Linked DNA regions of Pelodiscus sinensis. Each later gene encodes a partner of the first gene's protein in a complex. Links are inferred from orthologs where the notes say so. Each region holds a gene or a part of one and is shown on either strand. Other genes may lie near its edges.

The links.
Region 2: the proteins of SETDB1 (region 1) and ubiquitin-conjugating enzyme E2 E1 are in contact, whole or in part, in a crystal structure (PDB 8IYA), measured with the Homo sapiens proteins. The link is inferred for Pelodiscus sinensis from reciprocal best matches to the Homo sapiens genes SETDB1 and UBE2E1. Residues at the interface, in NP_001138887.1 of Homo sapiens: Glu868, Gly869, Tyr870, Glu871, Ser872; in NP_003332.1 of Homo sapiens: Asn125, Ser126, Gln127, Val129, Cys131, Leu132, Lys136, Asp163, Pro164, Leu165, Val166, Gly167, Ser168.

What each region holds. Positions count from the first base shown.
Region 1 is NC_134734.1:21,839,421-21,847,227, forward strand, and holds the start of SETDB1 (histone-lysine N-methyltransferase SETDB1), read left to right. Parts: upstream 1-4,790; 5' UTR 4,791-4,805; coding exon 4,806-4,950; intron 4,951-5,378; exon of another isoform or gene 5,379-5,534; intron 5,535-6,104; exon of another isoform or gene 6,105-6,357; intron 6,358-6,461; coding exon 6,462-6,678; intron 6,679-7,124; coding exon 7,125-7,297; intron 7,298-7,807. Other genes in the region: CTXND2 (cortexin domain containing 2), read left to right, coding at 4,215-4,388. UniProt on the Homo sapiens protein: Histone methyltransferase that specifically trimethylates 'Lys-9' of histone H3. H3 'Lys-9' trimethylation represents a specific tag for epigenetic transcriptional repression by recruiting HP1 (CBX1, CBX3 and/or CBX5) proteins to methylated histones.
Region 2 is NC_134712.1:189,268,432-189,276,687, reverse strand, and holds the start of ubiquitin-conjugating enzyme E2 E1, read left to right. Parts: upstream 1-5,219; 5' UTR 5,220-5,451; intron 5,452-5,640; exon of another isoform or gene 5,641-5,873; intron 5,874-8,256. UniProt on the Homo sapiens protein: Accepts ubiquitin from the E1 complex and catalyzes its covalent attachment to other proteins. Catalyzes the covalent attachment of ISG15 to other proteins. Mediates the selective degradation of short-lived and abnormal proteins.

The DNA.
Region 1 (7,807 bases):
GAGCTCAATGCATTGTGGCTAAGCTCCGCTTCTCAGGATGGTGGAACGTAAGTTAGAGCAGCTGTAGGACTGGGCATGCCCAACATGTGTGGAGTGCAATTCTGGGATGTATTAGCAGGAGTGTTGTAAGAAAGACACAGGAAGTCATTCTTCCGCTCTACTCTGCACTGATTAGGCCTCAATTGGAGCATTGTGTCCGATTCTGGCACCACATTTCAGGAAAGACGTGCATGGAGAAAGTCCAGAGACGAGCAACAAAAATGATTAAAAATCTAGAAAACTTGACCTATGGGGGAAGTCTGAAGGAATTGGGCTTGTTTAATCTGGAAAAGAGAAGACTGAGAGGGGACATAACAGCTGCTTTCAAGTACGTAAAAGGTTGTTACAAGGAGGAAAGAGAAAAATTGTCCTCTTTAACCTCCGAGGACAGGACAATGAGCCATGGGCTTAAATTGCAGCATGAGCAGTTTAGGATGGACATTAGGAAATGTCAGGGTGGTTAAACACTGGAACAATGTGCCTAGGGAGGTTGTGGAATCTCCATTATTGGAGATTTTAAAGAGCAAGTCAGACAAACACCTGTCAGGGATGGTCTAGAAGAGAGTACTTAGTCCCGCCCACTATGCTGGCAACAAGTTCCTCTAGCCAATCCCTTAAGCCACTCATGTGCCTCCAATCTCTCCAGACTCACTGACTTTATGGTGCTCACAAGAAAATGGCTAATTATGGGCAGGCCAAGGGGCAGTCATGATAAGGTAGCAGGAGAGGACGGGTGGACCAGTCGTTAAGATGCTGCTGGCCTGGGAGAGCTGGGTTCTGTAACACAGGTGACCTCTGTGACACTTCACCAGCTGCATCAGACTTCACTGGAACAGTCACTTACACCAGTGGTCCCCAACGCAGTGCCCGTGGGCGCCATGGCGCCCGCCGGGACATTTCTGTGCGCCCACCGAGTGATCGGGACTGGTCCCATCCCCAGGCATGCAGTGCAAGGGCTTTGCTGGCCCCTGGGCACGCGGCGTATGAGCGGCACCGACCCGGGCGCCCGGTGAAGGCGCAACGCCGGCCCCGGCCCCGGGCCCACAGCACGTGGGCGGCGCATGGGCTGTGCCGGCCCCAAGCACGCGACGTATGGGCGTACCCACCCCTGGGCGCTTGGCTCCCCACCCCTGAGCAGCGCTGGCCCTGAGCACGCGGCATATGGGTGGCCCCGCCCCTAGGCGTGAGGTACAGGAGCGGTGGCAGCCCTGGGAGTGTGGCGCATGGGTGGCGCTGGCACTGGGTGCGCAGCGTACGGGTGGCCCCGCCCCCGGGTGTGTATGCGGCCCCGCCCCCGGGCCCATGTGTGGCCCCTCCCCTGGGTGCCCGGTGCGTGAGTGGCCCTGCCTCCGGGCACCCGGCAGTCCCAAAAGGTTGGGGACTACTGACTTACAGGATTTCCTTCTCTGCCACCTGCTGGTTCATCAGGGAACTGTAACAGGAAATTAAGTTTGGTGGGCCTCAGTCTATCCCCAGTGTGACGGGTGTCCACCCTGCACAGCCAGCACCCCAGCTGTCAATATCTCCTCCTTTCAGACAGATGAACATTAACAAGGATCTAAGAGTCCAGGGCCTCATGAAACTTCAGTTCAAGACCGTGCCCTTGCTACAGAATCTCTGTGCGACCATGGGCCACTCCCTTAATCTCTCCGTGCCTCAATTGTCCAGCTGCAAAACATGGTTTATAGCCTTACCTCCCACTAATGTCATGAGGATAAATATATTATAGACTGTGAGATGCTCAGCTACTGCAGTAAAGGGAGACCTATTATTATCTGCAGGGCAGTAGTGTGTGTGGTGGGGAGAAGGAAAGTCACGGATCAGGACCCCTTTGTGCTAGGTGCTGTACAAACACAGAACAGTCTCAAAAAGCTTGCCACCTTGTTCACTTTTTAGCAGGTTTGGCAAAGATGACAGGGACTGAGAGGCTCTGGCATCTGAGTGACCCCTTCGGTTGTAGTCCTCCTAGAACAGGTTTGAGGGTGGGAGGAATTAGGGATGCATTTCCTGCTGCTGACCCTCCTAGATATGTTCTCTGGATAAACAGAGGACTCCAAAATTTCTGAGACAGTCAAACTTTCACCACTTCTAGTCTATACAGGTTCTCACAGCTTGCTCATCGCTGTAGCATCTCAGCGCCTTTCAGGAGTGCACTAAGCAACGTTATTACACATCTGAAAGTGAAAATACACCAGTAGTGAAATCACATGGAAAACTACTCACCGCACCAGACATAGCCCTGGGCACATGCTTTGAGTATGAACAATCCAAAAGCCAGCAGCCAAGTATTTTCAGTGTCTCCTGGAACTAAACTACAACAGGATACAAACAAGTGACTGTAAATAAACGGAAATCTGTCATCTTGATGATGTGTCAGGTCACTTATCCAAAGTATTCCTGTGGCCCGCATCACATCGCAGCAAGCACTTCATCCTCTTTAATGCCGGTATTTTCACAGCACTCCTTGGAAAAGCTATTATTCTCATGTGGAATGGAGACACAGACACAGGCATGCTGAGGCTGCTAAAGAGCTTGTCTACCAGATCAGACCTCCCACAAAACACAGCTGCCCTTCTTACACTCCTTAGCTCAGTGGTTACATGGCCAATGCCTGCCTGAATCAGAGAAGGGACATGATCGCAGGTCTCTCCCCTCTGAGATGAGTGCCCTACCCAGTGGGTTAATGGTACTTTCTCAATCCCCACTCTTGAAGCTGGTCCACTCTGTAAATATGGAGAAATAAACATGACTTGAGCCAGAGAAAGTGACTATGTCTCAGTGTTTAGGGAAATGGGGGAGTCAGGCCTCTCTCAGCGGTACTCAGTACATAACCAATATGTTGTGACATGTCTCTCACATGGAACATACTGGGGTTGATGGGCCAAAGGAAGCGCTTGATAAGTTTATGGAGGAAATTATCTGAGAAGTTACATACAATGACATATGGCCCATCCACAACAGCTGTTCACAACTATCTCCCATGGCAGAAGAGGGGACGCTAGAGGGGGAGGCTTCTAAGTTACTAGAGAAATTTTCCCTCCAGTCAGATTGGCAGAGATGCTAGAGGGCTTTTTTCCTTCCCTCTGTGCTGTGGGGCACAGGACACTTCCCAGAACAAATGGCGGCTTTTCTCTAACTTGAATTTTCTAAATCAAGTTTTGAGGACTTCAGTAACTCAGCTGGTGATCATGGGCCTACTACAGGACTGAATAGGTGAGATTCTGTGGCCTGTGCATAGGGTCAGAATAGATAATCATGTGGGTCCCTTTTGGCTTTAAAGTCTTTGAACCTATGAGCAGCAAACTCTAGCATTTTCTGTCCTCTGCAGGTAATGCAAACTTCCTAATTTCATAGGTGAGCTCTTTGGGCCAGTGACTAGGTTGTTTACAACACCAAGCACCATAGAGACTTAATTGGAACCCACAGGTGCAATTGTAATCACCTCCCTGCAGATTTGAAACCGGGCTCTCTAGAGTTTAGTGTAGGAGCCGCTACAGCTTAAGCTATAAAGCCAGCTGGCTCTAATCTTAGGCTGTAGAGCTCACTCATTCTTTTCTCTCACTATAAGTGGTCTAAATGCCACTACATGGGACAGTGAACCACACACACGAGGGCCGTGTCTACACTGGCAAGTTATTCCAGAAAATCAGCCGCTTTTCTGGAAAAACTTGCCAGCTGTCTACACTGGCTGCTTGAATTTCCGGAAAAGCACTGACGATCTAATGTAAAATCATCAGTGCTTTTCCGGAAAAACTATGCTGCTCCCATTTGGGCAAAAGTCTTTTTCTGGAAAACTGTTCTGGAAAACGGCCAGTGTAGACAGCACTGTAGTGTTTTCCGCAAAAAAGCCCCAATCGCGAAAATGACGATCGGGGCTTTTTTGCAGAAACGCGCGTCTAGATTGGCCACGGACACTTTTCTGGAAAAAGTGCTTTTCCAGAAAAGCGTCCTGCCAATCTAGACACACTTTTCTGAAAATGCTTTTAACGGAAAACTTTTCCGTTAAAAGCATTTCCGGAAAATCATGCCAGTGTAGATGTAGCCTAGGTGTATGGATTACACAATCACAATATAAATTATGCACAAAAATAATGATTTCCATCTCAAACTCTGCTGTGCAGGTGATGGACGTGCCAGAGCTCAGAGGACAGAGCAGGGTGTGAAGGCGGAGCCCTATGGAGAGTCCGACAGTGCAGCCGTACGTCGATGTGGACAAGGGGTTTGCCATTGGGTTTGTCATCCTGATGTGCGTTTTCTTGATGGCCATGATCGTGAGGTGCGCCAAGCTGATTGTGGACCCATACAGCGCCATCCCCACCTCCACTTGGGAGGAAGAGCAGATCAATTGACTGACAATAAATAGGAGGAAAACTGGCTAATCAGTTCCTTGTGGGTGACTCTTTTGCCTCTTGTGGTCCCTGTAATCCCCCACCCCTGCACAGATAATGAAGATTCTGTAGCTTAAATTGTGCATTTGTCAGATTCTAACACTATTGATAATACCTGGTATCTTCCATCTAAGGATCTCAAAGCACTTGACAATTAATTCAGCTTCATAAGACTTTGGGGTGGTAAGTGAATATACTAAACTCCTTGTGTCAAAGTGTCCATGGCCAAACCAGGAACAGAAGTTAGGAGTCTTGACTCTCCTTATCTCCTTGACTCTCCTTGACTCCCCTTAGATTCTCCTAATCCTAATGCCTTATTGAGGAAGACAGGAGTAGCCATCTGGGCTGGCTGGCTCCGACAGCAAGCTGGAGTAGGAGATGGTTGCTTACGCCAAGCGGCCATCTCTACCGGAGCAAGAAAGTGAGCGCAGACCTGCCCACTCTGGTTTTCCTGCACATAGTCACGTGTGTACGATTGGAATGAGGGGCAGGATGTTTCTCTCCTGTGACATCTCAGCACAGGGTGAGTTCCTCAGCAAGATTTGAACGCTGAGCGCCAAGCCTCAGCCCACCAGTGCAGCGCCTGTCCCTCAGGCAGGGCTGCAAGAAAGCAGCAGTAGTAGGCTGTTATCCCCCACCCACGCGAGCCCAGCACTAGCCTCGTGGCCCATGTCAGGCAGCTACAGCCTCAGCTCAGAGGCTAGTGCCCAGGAAGCCCCTGTGAAGTGCGCAGAGTTGTGGCAGGGGGAGCCCGCACTCCTGGCGTCCATTCCCGGCTCTGCCACTGACTCGCTCTGTGACCTCGGGCAAGGCACCTCCCCGCTGTCCCTTTAAGATCTGCCGCAGCGCCCTTAACGATGTGTTCTCCCGGCGCATGCGCACGGACCCACACAGCCTGACGGACCCCTGGCCCTTTAAGAGTATATCCCAGAGGCACGCTGGGCGCATGCGCAATATCCAGCGGTGGGCTCGTGCCCCGCTCTCAAGCAGAGCTCACTTGTGCCTCGCGGGCTACCGTCACCGGAAGTGCTGAGAGGTTCCATCCGGTCTGCCCGCAGCCAACGGCTGCTCCTCAGAAACAGCCCCACCCCCCGGGCCCGGGGAGAGGTGAGGAATGTGGGCTCGGGGAACATGGGAGCGGGGGGGGGCAATGGGGGGCACAGATAGAGGGGGGCTCTGGGGGAGGGGGAAGGGGCAGTTGGGGTACAGAAAGAGGGGGGCTCTGGGGGAGGGGCAATGGGGGGTTCTGGGGGAGGGGCAATTGGGGTCCAGATTGAGGGGGGCTCTGAGGGAGGGGCAATGGGGAAGGGGCAGTTGGGGTACAGATAGAGGGGCAATGAGGAAGGGGTAGTTGGGGTACAGATAGAGGGGGGCTCTGAGGGAGGAGCAATGGGGGGCTCTGGGGGAAGGGCAATTGGGGTCCAGATTGAGGGGGCCCTCTGAGGGAGGGGCAATGAGGAAGGGGCAGTTGGGGTACAGATAGAAGGGGGCTCTGAGGGAGGGGCAATGGGGGGTTCTGAGGGAGGGGCAATGGGGGGCACAGATAGAAGGGGGCCTCTAGGGGCTACACGCGGCACAGGGTCCGACCTAGCTGGCATTTAAAAATGGCGCCGGCCGGCTTTATGCAAATGAAGCCCGGGAAATTCAAATCCCGGGCTTCATTTGCAACTCCGTATGACTACATTACCACCCCCTAGTTCGAACTAGGGGGGTAGTGTAGACATACCCATAGAGAGAGCAGGGAACCAACTTTTAAGCTAGCTTTCCACATGTATTGGCTCCCACCTGCTGCTCCCAAGGATCTGGACCGGGAGCCGCATGTAACCATTTGTGTAACTGATAAGCTCATGCTTACCTGTTACCCATGTAAACAGTTACACTCTTACATCCAAAATGTCCATATGCTTATGAGGTCTTATACTGCAGTCAGGTTGGTTAGAGTGGTACAATACTTATGCTGACATACACTGTGTGTGACCAGAGCCTTGGAAGCTTGCATGTTGTCACATATTTCTTTTATTGCTTTGGTTTTAGCAAAAATGGATTCTCAGGAAGTAACAGAGTTGCAGCAAGAAGTGATAGAGGAGTTGGGGATCTCTATGGAGGAGCTCCAGCAATTCATTGATGAGGAGCTGGAGAAGTTTGAGAGTGTGAAACAGAGGAAACAGCAGCTGGAAGAGCTGGAAAAGAGTGTGGAACAGAAAGAAGCAGAAGTGGCATATGTTGACCAGCTCTTTGATGATGCTTCAAGGTAGGTATACTTGCAGTGGCAACTTTGTGTTGAAGAGAGAGCTAGTGGAGGTAGCAAAGAGAATTCTAGAAGAGGGAACTGGGCATTAGGATTCTCAGGTTCTATTTCCATCTCTACCACTGACTTGCTGGACGATGTGTAGGCAAGTTTCATGCACTCAGATTCTTAGAAGTACTCATTAAGCGCGTGCACTTTGGTAGCTGTTTCGTGTAGTGGCTTTGAGTCCTTCGGGTTAGTTTGTCCAACCCCTAATTCTGGTTTGCTTACTTGGGCAAACTCGCAGTTCTGCTTAGTGGTGATAATGGCCACAATTGCTGAGTAACCCCTTAAAGTAGCAGGTATCAGCTGTGCAAAACCTTCTCCTCTTCCTGGGAGGAGTGGGGTATAATTATATTCATCTTGGATCTTTCTCTCTGCCCCTTTTTTCCCCCCTCAATATGTTGCAGAGCCATTGGTAAATGTGAGATACTGGTAAAAGATCTCTACTCCAAGCTGGGCCTTCAGTATCGTGAGAGCAGCTCTGAAGATGAAGAATCAGCCTCCAAGCCCATGGAAGTGATCGAAATCCCAGATGAGGATGACGACGATGTTATGAGTATTGATTCGGGTTGGAAGCGCAGTTCAGTGTTCCACGTGACATTGGGAAGTGGGTTGGAGGAGGGGGTGGGGAGATAAAAGCATATCCCTGCAAAGAATATAACTTTTTAACAGGGTTCAAAAAAGGAGCTAGATACATTCATGGAGGATTGGTCCATCAATGGCTATTAGCCAGGGTGGGCAGGGATGGTGTCCCTAGCCTCTGTTTGTCAGAAGCTGCGAATGGGTGACTACTGTCTGGTTCATTCCTTCTGGGGCACCTGTCAGGACAGGACACTGGGCTAGATGGACCATTGGTCTGACCCAGTCTGGCCGTTGTTATGTTTTAATATGAAGGGGGATGGGGAGTTGGTCAAAGAGCATCCTCAAGAATATGCATTAGGACTATTGTTTGTAAGGCTGTGCAGGACCGGATGGAGACTCCCATGGAGCCTGTGGGAAGTGTAATAAGAGTGGTGCTTGTGAAGTCAGTGCATTTGTTCCCTAATTGAAAGCAGTTAAATTGGGAAGCTCTCATATGACATTCCCCTCC
Region 2 (8,256 bases), on another chromosome or scaffold:
TTTCCACCTTGACTTGAGGCCTTCTAACATAAGTGGCATCCCTTGAAATGAGGGGCAGTTGAGCAGCAGTCCTCCAACTCCGGGGCAGATGACCATTTTGCAGGGCCCTGGGTAGCACAATTTCGCGGAGCCCCCCTTTGCCACGGCGCATGCATGGTGGCACATGGCGCATGCGTGGGGCTTCTTGAAGCGCGGGGCCCAGGGCGGCCGCCCCACTCGCCCTGCCCTATATCCGCCCCTACTCCAACTTATCAATGAGGAGAAAAGATGAAAGGGAAGAAGGGGGAGAGGGGAAGAACAAAGATATGTAGGAAAAAATACATTGATTGAGAGGAGAGAGACTAAGTAAAAAGATGGCCTGACTATTGTACCCTCTCTCAATAAATAACCATTGGGTATAGATGGTGAGTGCTAAATTCTACCAAATGGCCTTCGCTACATGGCGTAGATGAGTTACAAAACATTATATCTCTGCCGCATAGGTGGCATCGGCATCCACAGGCAACTGAGATTCAGCTGGTCCAAACACTTTTAACAAAGTCAATGATTTTCCTTATCCAGCCAAGCCTTCATTTATTAATTTAACATTTTGGTCATAAGTAAGGCCTTGTTAAAATAACTGTCAAAGACAAGCCCACCTCTAGTGCCATCTCCAGGTCAACTGTTCCTGTATGACATGACATATTCTCTGGAGAGAGTAAACTGTCCATGAATAATTTTACATTGGAAATTAAAAGAAGGTTTTTAACCATCAGAAGCATGGATAGTGGTGGGAGGGGGACTAATTAGTATTAAGATAAAGTTAGATACATTTTTTAGTGGAATTGTTTGATGGAGTTGCTTTGGAGTCCTTTCTGGTTCCTGTCCTAAAATGTCATGCTTCAAGGCTTCAGCTAGTCACCTGAAGGGGTAAAGAAGGAATACATTTTCACCCAAAATATTCCGGGTGGGGTTTTTTATGGCCATGGCCATGGCCATGGATGGGATCAGCTGATACTCTGAGGTAGTACTGAGAATTCTCCTTCTCAGCTGCTGAGTTGATGAGTCTGGTTCACATGTACAGGGACAAACTAGTTCAAGGTCAGGAACAAATTTTCCTCAGATTATGTAGGCTGTAACCTTAGGGGGTTTTTTCACCTGCCATTGGAGGATGAAGTACAGTACAATAAAGGTCATTTGCTAGGATCTCAATCAATTCCATGCCATTATAGAGGCCTTGGGCACTAGTGGCACTTTGGCCCTAATGTCCTAAGGGCTATAATACTTTTGTCTGATTCTGTTTGTTGGGCTTGGTGTGGATGTGGTGAGATTCTCTCTAAGCTAGATGATCTGATGGTCCCTTCTGATCTTAACGTGTACGACTGTACAACTGTCAGGGAAAATTCAACTTTTCTTTATGCTGGAGTCTCAGAGAGGCAGGATTCCGTGGGTTTGAGAGTAGAGTTGAGTGAACAAAGCAGCAATGGGATATTATGAGATGTACATGTCATAAAATGGCTCTTTGTGAAGATTTAACCTGAGATCACCAATACCACAGACCCTATTGTTTGAGCTAAGAGAAGAGTTATTTTGTCTGTGAGATAGTACTATGGAACTGACGGAGCCAGCCGTGACTAGAGAGTGATGTGACCACATGCATCATCCTGTTTTACATGCCCTCCTGTGAGATACGTTTCTGATGAGCAGGGCTTGACAAACCCCGGCAAGAGCCACTTGCCAGCCCCACACTGCGCAGGTGCCAGACCGGCACTGCGCATGCGCGAAGCACCAGTGAATGTGGCGCTCGGAGCGACCGGCTGAAATCTACTTGCCACGGGCAAGTAGATGCAGCGGTTTGTCGAGCCCTGCTGATGAGAATCTGAGATCCACAAAAACAAAAGTTCCATATGGAGAGCCATTTTGGAGGAAATTGTAAATTCATACACAATGGAGAACATCTTTGTTTCAGGATGCTCTTTAGCTTTTGATACTGAAATTCCAGGACTCAGTCCTCAGTGACAGCTATGGCGAGTGTCTAAATATGCAGCCATGAAGTGTTACAGAAGGTAATTTGATTAAAACATGAGACTGGAAGTCTATTTTTTAGAATTACTGAACATCAATAGGGTTATCAGGAAGGCGAAAGTACAATCAGAATTGCAACTGGCAAGGATGTGAAGGATAACAAGAAGGCTGTGTCTAGACTGGCAAGTTTTTCCGCAAAATCATCTGCTTTTGCGGAAAAACTTGCCAGCTGTCTACACTGGCCGCTTGAATTTCTGCAAAAGCACTGACGATCTCATGTAAGATTGTCAGTGCTTTTGCAGAAATATTGTGCTGCTCCCGTTCGGGCAAAAGTCTTTTTCCTAAAAACTTTTCCGCAAAAATGGCGATTGGGGCTTTTTTGCGGAAAAGCGCGTCTAGATTGGCCACGGACGCTTTTCCGCAAAAAGTGCTTTTGCGGAAAAGCATCCTGCCAATCTAGACATGCTTTTCCGAAAATGCTTTTAACGGAAAACTTTTCCGTTAAAAGCATTTCCGGAAAATCGTGCCAGTGTAGACGTAGCCAAAAGGTTTCTATAGGCATGGTAACAAGAAGAAGGTGATCAGAGGATGTGGGGTCCCTACTGGATGAAGGAGGTAACCTAGTGACAGATGATGTGGAGAAAGCTGAAGTACTCAATGCTTTCTTTGCCTCTATATTCACGGACAAGGTCGGCTCCCGGACTAATGCGCTAAGTGACACAAGATGGGATGAAGATGGACAGCCCTTGGTGGATAAAGAACAGGTTAGGAACTATTTAGAAAAGCTAAATGTACACAAATCCATGGGTCCGGACTTAATGCATCCGAGGGTAATGAGGGAGCCTTTGGCCATTATCTTTGAAAAGTCGTGGAGATCGGGAGAGATCCCGAATGATTGGAAAAAAGCAAATGTAGTGCCCATCTTCAAAAAAGGGAAGAAGGACGATCCAGGGAACTATAGGCCGGACAGTCTTACCTCGGTTCCTGGAAAAATCATGAAAGGGATCCTTAAAGAATCCATTTTGAGGCATTTGGAAGAGAGGAAAGTGATCAGGCATAGTCAGCATGGATTCACAAAGGGCAATTCATGTCTGACCAATCTGATTAACTTCTATGATAAGGTAACTGGCTCTGTGGATATGGGAAAGTCAGTGGGTGTGATATATCTTGACTTTAGCAAGGCTTTTGATACGGTCTCCCACAATATTCTTGCCAGCAAGCTAAGGGAATGTGGATTGGATAAATGACAGTAAGATGGATAAAAAGATGGCTAGAAGGCCAGGCCCAGCGGGTAGTGATCAACGGCTCGATGGCGGTCGGTTTCTAGCGGAGTGCCCCAAGGTTCAGTTCTAGGACCAGTTTTGTTCAATATCTTTATTAATGACCTGGATGAGGGGATGGATTGCACCCTCAGCAACTTTGAAGATGACATGAAGCTAGAGGGAGAGGTAGAGACGCTTGAGGGCAGAGATGGGGTCCAGAGTGACTTAGACAAATTGGAGGATCGGGCCACAAGAAATCTGATGAGGTTCAATTAGGACAAGTGCAGAGTCCTGCACTTGGGACGGAAGAATCCCAAGCATTGTTACAGGCTGGGGACCAACCAGCTAAGTAGTAGTTCTGCAGAAAAGGACCTGGGGGTTACAGTGGATGAGAAGCTGGATATGAGTCAACAGTGTGCCCTTGTAGTCAAGAAGGCTAATGGCATATTAGGGTGCAATAGGAGGAGCATTGCCAGCAGATCCAGAGAAGTGATTATTCCTCTTTATTTGGCTCTGGTGAGGCCACATCTGGAGTATTGTGTCCAGTTTTGGGCCCCCCACTGTGAAAAGGATGTGGATGCATTGGAGAGGGTCCAGCAGAGGGCAACCAAAATGATTAGGGGGCTGGAACATATGACCTTTGAGGAGAGGCTGAGGGAGTTGGGTCTGCTTAGTCTGCAGAAATGAAGAGTAAGGGGGGATTTGATAGCAGCCTTCAACTTCCTGAAGGGAGGTTCCAAAGAGGATAGAAAGGGGCTGTTCTCAGTAGTGACAGATGACAGAACAAGGAGCAATGGTCTCAAGTTGTGGTGGGAGTGGTCCAGGTTGGATATTAGGAAAAACTATTTCACTAGGAGAGTGGTGAAGCACTGGAATGGATTACCTAGGGAAGTAGTGGAGTCTCCATCCCTAGAGGTGTTTAAGTCTTGGCTTGACAAAACCCTGGCTGGGTTGATTTAGTTGGGATTGGTCCTGCCTAGAGCAGGAGTCTGGACTTGATGACCTTCTGAGGTCTCTTCCAGCTCTATGATAGTATGATACTATGATCCAAACTCAATGGGAAGTCAAGAGAGCTGCAAGTGTTGAGCATCCCAGAAAATCCTGGGAGACTAGACAGATGGGTTTTGATTTACAAAACATAGATTGGTGGGAATAATCATACCCATCATACTTGATAGGTGTGTTGTGCAGTTGTAATCATTTGTTTGTAGATTGCTTTGAGATCCTCCATTGCAAGGAAGGATAGAAATCATAGAACACTAGGACTGGAAGGGACCTTGAGAGGTCATCGAGTCCAGTCCTCTGCCCTCATGGCAGGACCAAATACTGTCTAGACCATCCCTGATAGACATTTATCTAACCTACTCTTAAATATCTCCAGAAATGCAAAGTAATACTAATGATTATGATGCACAGTGGTGATTTCATTTTCCTGCCTACTACACTATATCACATAGTTATTGTCTGGTCATCTCTTGATATACATTTGGAAACTAAAAGCACTGAACCACATTCAGCGGTTATATTAACCTGCTGAAGTCAACGGGGGAGGAAGAAGGGACAGAAATAAATCTGGTGCAGCGTTTCCATTTAGATCTATGGCACTATGCCTTGGCCCATAGAAAAGTGACTGACTGCTGTCTTCTTACCATGGGAGAAGTACAGTGAATCACTCTTGAAGTCAGTGTTATTTTTTCTTAGGGCTGTGCAGGTAGCAAAAAGATCATCTGCAAAGGCTTTGCAGGGGGAGAAGAAGGAGACAGGGGGGAGAAGAAGGAGAGAGGGGGGAGAAGAAGCCACTGGAGATGCAGCATCATCTGGCCCAACTTTATTTAATGCGGTGCCCCAGCTGGGAGGCTCCCCCTTTGCGGATCCTGTTCCATTCCCAAATCCAACCTGCTTTTCCTTCCTGTAGCTGGCCAGCCTGCTGCCGTCTCTCCGCAGGAGCTGCTGACATCACAAGCGGCCCTTCCTTTTGTGTGGCGCTGCGCGCGCGGGGGGCTGCGTGGGGACAATGGAAGCCTGAACCCGGGGCGCGGGCAAGGGGGAAGCAGCTGCTGCGGCGGCCGAGGATGAGTCAAGGCTGAGCGAGGGGAGGGGAGAAGCGGCTGCTGCGTGCGGGCCGGGACAGGTGAGAGACGGGGAGGAAGCTGCTGCCGCTGCCGCTGCCCTAGGACTGAGCCAGGTGAGAAGTTGCGGCGGCGGGAGGGATCAGGCCGGGGGGAGCTGCGGCTTTGGGGCCGAACCAGGGGGGGGAATGGGCAGGCGCCCGGCTCAGCCTTCGGGCAGCCCCAGCTGCTCCCAGTGCCCCCTAAGACCGGGGCAGGGAGCGGAGCCCCGCGGCTCGTTATTTCTCCCTCTCCGCGCTCACACACTCGCCTCGGCAGGCGCAGGAGCCTCCCTCCGCGGCCCCCGCGCCGCCTGCCCCCTGGGGGTGAGGGCAGCCTGCTCCGGCAGCCCCGGCTCGCCGAGGGGCCGGGGAGGAGCGGGGCAGCCATTGCCTGGGTAAGAGTTGCTGTTGCAGCACTTCCGCTTCTCTCCCAGCGAGAGACACGAGTGGCCAGGCCCAGCCGCGCCGCGGAGCAGCCGCCAGACACAAAGGGAGAGGTACGGAGCGGGGCCCCCTGCCCGCAGCCCGCACCCCCCGGCCGGGCCCCGGCCGCAGCGCGACACTCGGGCCGGGGCCGGGGCCGGGCCGGGTTGGCAGGGATCCCCCCGTCCCCGCAGGGCCCGCGCCCGGGCCCCAGTCTCGCTATCAGGGAGCTGAGCAGCGCTGTCCTGGAGGTGTGCCCCGTGCACGCCCTGCCCCCCGCATCCCTTCTCCCCCCGGCTCTGCCCCCCGCATCCCTTCTGCCCCCCAGCCTTTCTCCCCGTCACTGCCCTCCCGAGAGTGCCCCCCGGCACTGCCACCCCCGCATCCCTTCTCTCTCCCCCCGCATTGTCCCCCTTTGGGAGTGCCCCCCCGCATCCCTTCTCTCCGCCCCCCCCCACCCGCACTATCCTTCACATCCCATCTCCCCTTCGTCTCCATTGCCTCCCCACATCCCTTTTCCCTGCCGACCACTGCCTCCACCCACATGTCTTCCCCCCTCCCACGCTTCCCCCCACATCAGCACTGTCCCCTCCTTCCTCATCCCTTCCCCCCTGAGTCTGCTCCCCCCCCATCTCTTCCCTCTCCGCATCACTGCCCCCTTTCCTCCTCCCCTCCCCCCAAACCGACACTGCCCTCCCCCCATCCCTTCCCCCCTGGCACTGCTCTCTTTTCCTTCCCAGTATTGCTCCCCCTTCCTACATCCCTTCCCCCTCTTCCTCCCAGCACTGCCTCCTCACCCCCTCCATCCCTTCTCTCTCTTCCCAGCATCCCTCCCCCATCCTCATGCCATTCCCACATCCCTACTGTCCCTCTCCACATCCCCCCATACTTCCTCCCTGCACCCCCCCCCACACTTCCTCCCCGCATCCCTCCTCCCTATCTCCCTGGCATTGCCCCCTCTCATACCTTCCCTGCCCCAGCACTATTCCTCCCCTACATGCTTCCCCTCATGCACTTGCTGCCCTCCTCTATTCCTTCACCCTGGGCCTGCTCTTTGCCATGTATTCCACCTTCCTTAAGACTCCTCCAGCCCTCCCTCCTGCATTGCCTCTCACTGTCCCTCCCCTATGCACATGCTGCTGCTCCCCCCCCCCCAGCACTTCCCCCTCAACCCTCCTCCATCCTGGGCCTGCTCTCCTTCCCCATTCTTTCCCCCAACCCTGGGCTTACTCTTCCCTCCACTCAAGGCCTTCTCTCCCTCCTCCATTCCTTCTTCCTCCATCCCTCCTCCCCTCTCCTGGGCCTGCTCAACCCCAGCCTTCATTCCAGCACTACCTTCCCTCACATCCCTCCCCCATGCACATGCTGCCCCCCCTGCTGCTCCTCCCCTGGAACTGCCTCCCCTGATCCCTTGTCCTAGCCCTGCTCTCCCCTCTCTCTCCTCCTATGTACCCACTGCTCCCTAGCACTGCCCCCCACATCCCTTCTCTCCCTCCCTGCCACTCTCCCTTCCCGCCACTGCTCTCCCTTATCCCTCCCCCTTGTGCACGCACTGCCCTCCCCCCCATCTCCGTTCCTCCTCCCCCAGCTCTCCTCCCTCATCCTTCCCATGCACATACTGTCTGTTCCCTCTGGCCCTGTCTCCCCACACACCCTCCCATCAGCATCCCTTCCCACCTCTGCACTGTTCTCCCCCTGCATCCCTTCCCCTGGCACTGCTTTCCACATCACTTCCCCCCTACTGCACATACTATCTCACCCCCCCCCAGCACTACCCTTCGCATTCCTTCTCCTGGCCCTGCTCTCCCCCATCATCTCCCCTCCCCTGTATTTCTTCCCTCCCTGCTACACTATACCTGGCCCTGTTCTTCCCCATTCCTTCACGCTGATCCTCCCTGTCTCTCCTGTACTCCTCCCCCCAGCACTGCTCCCATTCTTCTGTCCCCCTGCACTGCTCCCCCTTCCCTTCACACAGTCCCCATCCCTTTCCACTTGCACTGCCCCTTCCCCATTCCTTCCTCCCTCCTTCCTGAGCACTGGTTCCTCCTGCCCTTCCCCCCTTCATTCCACCACCTCAGGCACTGCTCCCCCCCATCTCTAGCCCCCCAGTAGGCACTGATTTCCACTTTCCCCTACACATACCCCATCTTCTTTGCCTTGTGTGGGCACTGATCTTCTACCTATACCCAGACATTCATACCTCAACAGGCAGTAACCTCCCACCCGTGCCTGTCCCTCCCCCTTGCAAGCACTGACCTCTCCCCCTCACACCTTGCAGGCACTGATCTCCCTCCTCTTCTGCTGCAGGCACTCATCTCCTCTCCCCTCATCCCCTGCAGGCACTGATCTTCTCTGCTGTCCTTCCTCCTACTCCTTACCCCCTGCAGGCCGTGATCACCCCCACTTACCGCCTGCAGTCCATGATTTCCCTCTCTGTCCTCCCTCTCCCCCACCTAC